Linked DNA regions of Xenopus tropicalis. The protein of the gene in region 1 interacts with the protein of each later gene in a pairwise test. Links are inferred from orthologs where the notes say so. Each region holds a gene or a part of one and is shown on either strand. Other genes may lie near its edges. The genes, in order: adarb1 and prkra.

Evidence for each region.
Region 2: the proteins of adarb1 (region 1) and prkra interact in binary tests that used the Homo sapiens proteins (3 or more experiments, as listed by UniProt). The link is inferred for Xenopus tropicalis from reciprocal best matches to the Homo sapiens genes ADARB1 and PRKRA.

What each region holds. Positions count from the first base shown.
Region 1 is NC_030685.2:55,408,187-55,412,004, forward strand, and holds part of adarb1 (double-stranded RNA-specific editase 1), read left to right. Parts: intron 1-2,298; exon of another isoform or gene 2,299-2,344; coding exon 2,345-3,273; intron 3,274-3,818. UniProt on the Homo sapiens protein: Catalyzes the hydrolytic deamination of adenosine to inosine in double-stranded RNA (dsRNA) referred to as A-to-I RNA editing.
Region 2 is NC_030685.2:64,075,411-64,079,891, forward strand, and holds the start of prkra (interferon-inducible double-stranded RNA-dependent protein kinase activator A homolog A), read left to right. Parts: upstream 1-1,390; 5' UTR 1,391-1,496; coding exon 1,497-1,552; intron 1,553-3,031; coding exon 3,032-3,201; intron 3,202-4,481. UniProt on the Homo sapiens protein: Activates EIF2AK2/PKR in the absence of double-stranded RNA (dsRNA), leading to phosphorylation of EIF2S1/EFI2-alpha and inhibition of translation and induction of apoptosis.

The DNA.
Region 1 (3,818 bases):
TTGTCCAATCCATTGTTCACCAAGGGTATGTAAATATGTACCTTACACCTATTTTACCCAAATTCAATATTTTTGCCCCATGTTAAAATAAAGTAATTACACACAATATAGCGGTTCCCTTATGATACTAATTTTAATTATAAGCAAATTGTAGCCTAGAACTGAGCACTGGTCCAGACGTTTTTGCAAACAAATACATTTAAAAATCGCTATTAGTGTGCGTATTAGATATATACAGATTATAATTATGAAAAGTGATGCTAATTCATTGTAATACTTACAGTGTGATCTTCTATGTGATGAAAATAGTCTGTTTGGCAAACAACTTACTTGTTTTTAACCGGGTGCTTACACTTTCCATGCTGTTTGCAAGCCAAACCATCCAGTGGTGACTCATATTGGGAGGAAGCATACCACCCCACACCAGCAGATGCCTTTAACAGATTTAGTGCCACTTTACTCTGCAATAAATGTGTTAAAGGCATCTGCCGGTGTAGGGTGGTGAGTCTCTTCTGTGTGATGGCATGATACAACTTCCATACATTTCTATTTCTTCTTTTTGATAAAAAAACAACATCTTCAATACTATTATTTTCTTTGTTAATATATTGGGCACGGTTTGTTATAAAATGTTTCAGCAGTCTGTACAGAATACAGTTCTTTTTTTTTTTAATTTCTGCATCCAGCTAAGAACTAAAACTTGTTTTTGCTTCAGCAATTAAGCTATCATAGTATTTATTTACAGAATCTATTGCTCTGTAGAAATTAGCAGCAGAATTATGGTACAGGTATGGGATCCCTTATCCGGAAACTCGTTATCCAGAAAGTTCCAAATTACAGAAAGACCATCTCCCAAAGACGCCATTGTAATTATTATTAGTTATTATTAATATTACTTATTATTATTATTATTATTACTTATTACTAATATTATTATTTGTAATCAAATAATTCACATTTTTTAAAAATGGTTTCCTTTTTCTCTGTAATAATAAAACAGTACCTTGTATTTGATCCCAATTAAGATATAATGAATCCTTACTGGAAGCAAAACAATCCTATTGGGTTTATTCAATATTTAAATGATTTTTAGTAGACTAAAGTTATGAAGATCCAAATTACAAAAGGATCCCGGAAAAGCCCAAGTCGTGAACATTCTGGATAACGGGTCCTATACCTGTACCAGTCTTGTAAGAAAAACTTAAGTTTCACTATACTTTAGATGTGGATTTCATTTTCTTTAGCTTGGCACAGTGAATGTAATTTTTGTTATTTCGAGGTATGGGTTCCATTATCTGGAAAACCATTTTACAGATAGCTCCGAATTACAAGAAGGCCATCTCTCATAGAGTTCATTGTAATAAATTTCAACAAATGTATACACTTTGTTGAGATCCTATTACACTTTTAAATTGCATCTAAATTCTCTTAACTGTTGGTAAACTTGTTTCAGTGTTCTCCTCAGCCCCTTTTATCTGGGTGCATCTCGAAGCATTTTGTGTAAGTTGCCCAGCTCACTGCCTTCTGGGGAGAACACTGCTTTACAATTAGTGAGGAAAGAAATACAATGCTTATTCCTTTTTTTCTTTTGCGTTCACTGCCTTTTTTTTGACCAGTATTTAACCAGTAATCTCTTAAATGTCTTTTACATTAACCCGTAGTGACTGTTTGCCTTTTTTTGGTCTGTTGAGCGCCAAAAAGAGTAACCTATCAAGCTTTTGCTGGAGGATGTTATAAATGAAAATTTAGCAATTATTCCATCAACTTTGTTGGCTGGGTAAAGTGGTGTGTGTTTGCTTAGTTTATATAAGATTCCTGAGAAGAATAACCTTTGTGATAACTCAAGTAATGAAAAGCCCCAATTTATCTGTCTTTAAATATCCATATCTGGGTGTTGTGTGGTAAGATATTGAGATATCCATTTCACTGCCTGTGTAAAGAGATATAAATTAGAATAAAATATGTAGTGAAAAATTAGAATAAAAACACCTCTTTTTTTGTAATCATTGGTTTATATAGACAGTCATCTATAATGATCAGTATTATTTTAATGTTTGCCCGTAATTATTTACTTTTCTCAGAAACCGCCACCCTTTTAATAGGAATAAATAAAAACTCTTTACTACTTGTAGGTAGTAAACGTAAAAATAACCTATGGGATGTGTTTTAGGTATTGAATTGTAAACCCCATAACATTGTTGTGCACCTTAGATATGCAGTAATACCATTCTGTGACCACACAACACTGAACCAGTGACAAAAGTAGATAAAGGAATCTATAAATTTTGCATTTACAAGATCCTGCGACGAAGGCGTTGTAAGTTACTCTTTCTGGGCACTACAGGTTCAAGCAGCGCCGATGTTAAGGAAAATCGCATGGATGGAGCTTCAGCAAAAGAAGGAAGTGGCCAAGCCACCGGGGATGGGGCTCAGCTTTCCAATGGGAGTGAGGGAAGCAACAGCAGAAAACGGCCTTTAGAAGAAGGCAACAATGGCCATTCCAAGTTCCGTCCTAAGAAGAGGAAGAAAATTCCAGGCCCTGTGTTGCCAAAAAATGCTCTAATGCAACTGAATGAAATTAAGCCTGGCTTACAGTACAAACTTATTTCTCAGACAGGACCTGTCCATGCACCTGTCTTTATTATGACTGTTGAAGTAAATGGGCAAGTTTTTGAAGGTTCAGGACCTACTAAGAAGAAGGCTAAACTTAATGCTGCCGAGAAGGCTTTAAGGTCATTTGTGCAATTCCCAAATGCATCAGAAGCTCATCTAGCAATGGGCAGAACTCTGTCTGTTAATACTGATTTTACCTCTGACCAAGCGGACTTTCCAGATACTCTGTTTAATGGATTTGAAAAACCAGAACAGTCCGAGCATGTTTTTTTCTTGGGCTCTAATGGAAATGAATCCTTTAATTCTGCAAATGACTATAGCTTATCGATGATTGGAAGCAGTAATTTTATTCAGTCTCCCCTTCCAACACCATCTTTGTTCCCACCAGCTAGTGGAAAAAATCCTGTAATGATTTTAAATGAGCTTCGTCCTGGCCTTAAATACGACTTTGTCTCAGAGAGTGGTGAAAGTCATGCCAAGAACTTTGTGATGTCTGTAACTGTAGACAATGAAACATTTGAAGGATCTGGAAGGAACAAGAAGCTTGCAAAGGCGAGAGCAGCACAGTCTGCCCTTGCATCGCTTTTTAACATGCACTTGGATCAGACCCCATCCAGACAGCCTATTCCAAGTGAAGGCCTACAATTACATTTACCCCAGGTATGAACAATATTTATTTCCTTTAACCCTACTTTTACTTCTGTTTCCTTTACTTTTCATTTTGCCAAAGTCGCACTCCTTTGTCAACACTTTGCAAATTGGTACCTGGGGCAGTAACCCATAGAAACCAGTGAGTACAATTTGTTGAGCTGGCAGGAAAAGGAGTATAGAAACTTTTTGATTGCTTTTTTTTATTTTCTGATATCTGCAGACATTTTAATATGTTCCATTAATATCAACTAATTTAGCTTTGTCTTGTTTTCAGTGCAGTGTTTAATAATAAATATATCATAAGATCAGAAAGCTTTGCGCAGTAAAAGTAAATTGCTTTCTAGAAGATGCAGAAAGACTATATGATGGTAACAGGTGTACGCATTTTAATTTTGGGGTTCTTCGGACCTTTAAATAAAGTGAGAGGCCTGGCTAATACAGATGTGTGTGGTAAGCTTAGATGTAAGACTTAGTGCAGTTTTCATATTAGGCAGTATGTTAACTATGAAACTAGACATTTATTCAAGAGATATATGGTTTAATTACGAGATATA
Region 2 (4,481 bases), about 8.7 Mb from region 1:
ATGTATTAGCTCCCTTAGCCCTCCCGTTCCCAGAGAAGCATGTATTAGCTCCCTTAGCCCTCCCGTTCCCAGAGAAGCATGTATTAGCTCCCTTAGCCCTCCCGTTCCCAGAGAAGCATGTATTAGCCCCCTTAGCCCTCCCGTTCCCAGAGAAGCATGTATTAGCCCCCTTAGCCCTCCCGCTCCCAGAGAAGCATGTATTAGCTCCCTTAGCCCTCCCGTTCCCAGAGAAGCATGTATTAGCTCCCTTAGCCCTCCCGTTCCCAGAGAAGCATGTATTAGCTCCCTTAGCCCTCCCGTTCCCAGAGAAGCATGTATTAGCTCCCTTAGCCCTCCCGTTCCCAGAGAAGAATGTATTAGCTCCCTTAGCCCTCCCGTTCCCAGAGAAGCATGTATTAGCTCCCTTAGCCCTCCCGTTCCCAGAGAAGCATGTACGGTATTAGCTCCCTTAGCCCTCCCGTTCCCAGAGAAGCATGTATTAGCCCCCTTAGCCCTCCCGCTCCCAGAGAAGCATGTATTAGCTCCCTTAGCCCTCCCGTTCCCAGAGAAGCATGTATTAGCTCCCTTAGCCCTCCCGTTCCCAGAGAAGCATGTATTAGCCCCCTAAGCCCTCCCGCTCCCAGAGAAGAATGTCGGGGGCCTCGCTGACACGCACATCCCACAGCTCAGGGAAAGCATGCTGCGCCTGCGCACCAGCGCGCCTCCTTTTATTCTCCCGACCCCCCCACACCCGGACTGTCCCCCCCACACCAGGGCTCCCAAGGGCTGACAGAGACGAACTCTTCGCGACAGCAGATGATGCTGACCGCGGCCCCATACGGACGGACCGGGGAGCGCCAGGCGCATCTCCCAGGGAAAGCCCGGGGCACTCCGGCAATACATGGGGCAGGTAGGGCTGTGCGAACGGAGGAGTCTCCCAGCTGATGTTTTTTAGTCCGCGCCTACTCTTGCTCTCCGTGCCCGCTGAAAATCAGCAAATAAAACAACAGGCACCTCCGCGAAGAGCCATCGCCCTGAAGCCAGTGTATTAGGGTTAGCTTAACAGAGACCTCCGTTCCCACTGAGCGTACCACGCTGTGAGACAGGTACTCCCTGGCTCTAGATATGAACCAGCTGCCATTTCCCGCCCACTCTGCTGCAGCCAATGAAACCCAGGCAATTCCAGGCAGCGCGCTGATTTACTAGGCATAAGCCACGCTCCCTGTAACCTAGGAAACAAGCACCTGCCCCTGTCGCCCTGTAGTTTTCTAAAAATAAATAAATAAATAACTACAATTCCCTCTAAATCCTGTTTTTAGTTTCACGAAAGCGGTTCCTCGGGAATTGTAGTTTATATCTATCGCTTAACGATTGCGCATGCGTTCTTACCGCGGCTAGCGAAATTGACAGGCAGCTGGAGGCCGGAAGCGGAAGTGCAGCCTACAGCCGGCGCATAGAGAAACCTTCCCTGCGCGGCTCTAAGCCTAGGAGAGTAGGGCTCTCCCCATTCCTCTGCTATGTCCCAGGAGAGGTTTCCAGACGCGCCCAAAAGGAGCTGTGAAAAATCCACCAGGTGCTTGGGGAGAGATTAGAGCTTGTCTATGGTTGGGGTCAGGGAGCTGCCGCTAGAGGTTTGATATAGTGATGCTGGAGTTGTAGTTCATACAGTGTCTGTGGGGCATAGTTTCAACCTTCCAAATCTGCTTAATGGTTGTCTTGGTGTTGGGTATCTGTACATTGTAGGACTTTATATTACAAGCTTACAATCCAAGGTCCCCTTTTTCATTCACACATACACAAGGACAGTTTGATTGGGATCCAGTTACCTGTATGTTTTGGAGTGTGTGAGGAAACTGGAGGAATCCCACAAACACACAAACTGGTCTTTTCCTATACCTGTGTAATGGGAAAAAGAAGCTGCTCGGATGAGTAGTGAAACATCTTCAATGATTACTTAACAAGTCCAGTTAATTTAGATTTAATTATACTAGATACACCATGACCTGGATGAATGAAACTCTTCATAGTCACACTGATCTTTATTTTCCATTTAGGTTAGTGGCAAATGCATCTTTTGAGTGTTGATCCTTGCAGTTTGTAATTGACATTGATTAGAAAAGAGGTGGGTCACTGTGGTCACTTAATGGCAAAGTGTTGCTGGTGCCCAGTGATTCTAGTGCAGGGCTACTCGCAGTGCTTTCATTTCTGCATTGCTACTGATTTCTACTGCTGCTCAATTTCATTTGGTTTCTCTCATTAAGTGCCTGTGCAGCCTGTTCTTTAGATTGGTGGCACAAGTATTATCAGTCCAAATTACCCATGGGCAGATGGAGGACTGCACTTGACTGGATGACAGAGAGTTCAGAAGGCTACAGATAGAAAATGACAATACTTTCATGAACTATAAAATATCCTAAATGTTGTGACCTTACATTACCCAGATCAATCAAACTGGCAGCAAATACTGAGGGGCAGTTGCTCGTTGAACGGGTACCTATTCTAGTCAAACTGCTTAAACCTCTGGAGGTTCAGGCTACTTGAGCTCACACTGCAGAGGAAGTTGGTGCTGGCAGCCATGTTTGGTCAGACATGTAATGAGTGAGTCTGCCGGCTTTTAGGTTATGCACAAGTGTGCAACCCTGATTCTTAATCACACTACTGTGGCAAACCTTATTGTCCACATGCTTAGAGTCCCAACGTGGCTTCTTCCCAGTGCAGGTGGCATTGCGGTCACTAGGAACATGTGTGGGCTCAATTTGCGTACACCCCTGGCAGGGAAAACTTTGACTATGATGGTGCCCTTTAAGTTAACTTTTTAATATATTATAGAATGTCCTTCTCTTAGCAACATTTAAATTGCTCTTCGTGTTTTATGTTCCATAGTTTTTGAGTTATTTGCTTTCCTCTACTGTCTCTTTTCAGCTTTCAGTTTGATAATCATGGAATATCTGCAGTTTACCCTCTGCTTAATATCTGACTCCCTGTGCTGGTTGAATATTGGCATCTTAAATGTACCTTATACCTCCACTAATACCCTACTTTCTTATCTCAGCGTGGAAGCAAAGCTTGCAACCAATCCGTGCAAAACCCCCATTCAGCAGCTGCATGAATTTGGAACAAAGACTGGTAACCCTCCCGTGTACACCTTAATAAAAGCAGAAGGAGAAGTACATAACCCTAGTTTCACTTTTCGGTTGGTTATTGGTGATATAGTTAGCTCAGGTATGTTCTTTAAGTGGCCTTTTCATTGGTGGGAAACGTTATGCCTTTTCCATTTACATAGTAACATAGTAAGTTGGGTTGAAAAAAGACATACGTCCATCACGTTCAACCATAATGCCTATATCTAACCTGCCTAACTACTAGTTGATCCAGAGGAAGGCAAAAAACCCCATCTGAAGCCTCTCTAATTTGCCGCAGAGGGGAAAAAATTCCTTCCTGACTCCAAGATGGCAATCGGACCAGTCCCTGGATCAACTTGTACTAAGAGCTATCTCCCATAACCCTGTATTCCCTCACTTGCTAAGAATCCATCCAGCCCCTTCTTAAAGCTATATAATGTATCAGCCAGTACAACTGATTCGGGGAGGGAATTCCACAACTTCACAGCTCTCGCAGTAAAAAATCCTTTCCGAATATTTCAATGGAACCTCCCTTCTTCTAAACGGAGTGGGTGCCCTTGTGTCCATTGGAAGGACCTACTGGTAAATAAAACATTAGAAAGGTTATTATATGATCCCCTTATATATTTATACATAGTTATCATGTCACCTCTTAAGCGCCTCTTCTCCAGTGTAAACAGACCCAACTTGGCCAGTCTTTCTTCATAACTGAGACTTTCCATACCCTTTACCAACTTAGTTGCCCTTCTCTGGACCCTCTCTAACTCAATCATGTCCCGTTTGAGCACTGGAGACCAAAACTGAACAGCATATTCTAGATGGGGCCTTACCAGTGCTCTGTAATCCGTGAATCTATACCCCTTTTAATACAGCTCAAAACCTTGTTTGCCCTTGCAGCTGCTGCCTGGCATTGCTTGCTACAGCCAAGTTTATTATCTACAAGGACTCCAAGGTCTTTCTCCATTATGGATTTGCCTAGTGCAGTCCCATTAAGGGTATACGGGGCTTGCATATTTTTACATCCCAGGTGCATGACCTTACATTTATCCACATTAAATCTCATCTGCCACTTAGCTGCCCAGATTGCCAGTTGGTCAAGATCCTGCTGCAGGGATGTCACATCCTGGATAGAATTGACTGGTCTGCAGAGTTTTGTGTCATCTGCAAACACTGATACATTACTCATAATACCCTCCCCTAAGTTATTTATGAACAAATTAAACAAAAGTGGACCCAGTATAGAACCCTGAGGGACCCCACTGAGAACCTTACTCCTAGTAGAGAATGTACCATTAACAACCACCCTCTGTACCCGATCCTGTAGCCAGTTTTCTATCCATGTGCAAATTACTTCACTAAGACCAATAGACCTTAGCTTAG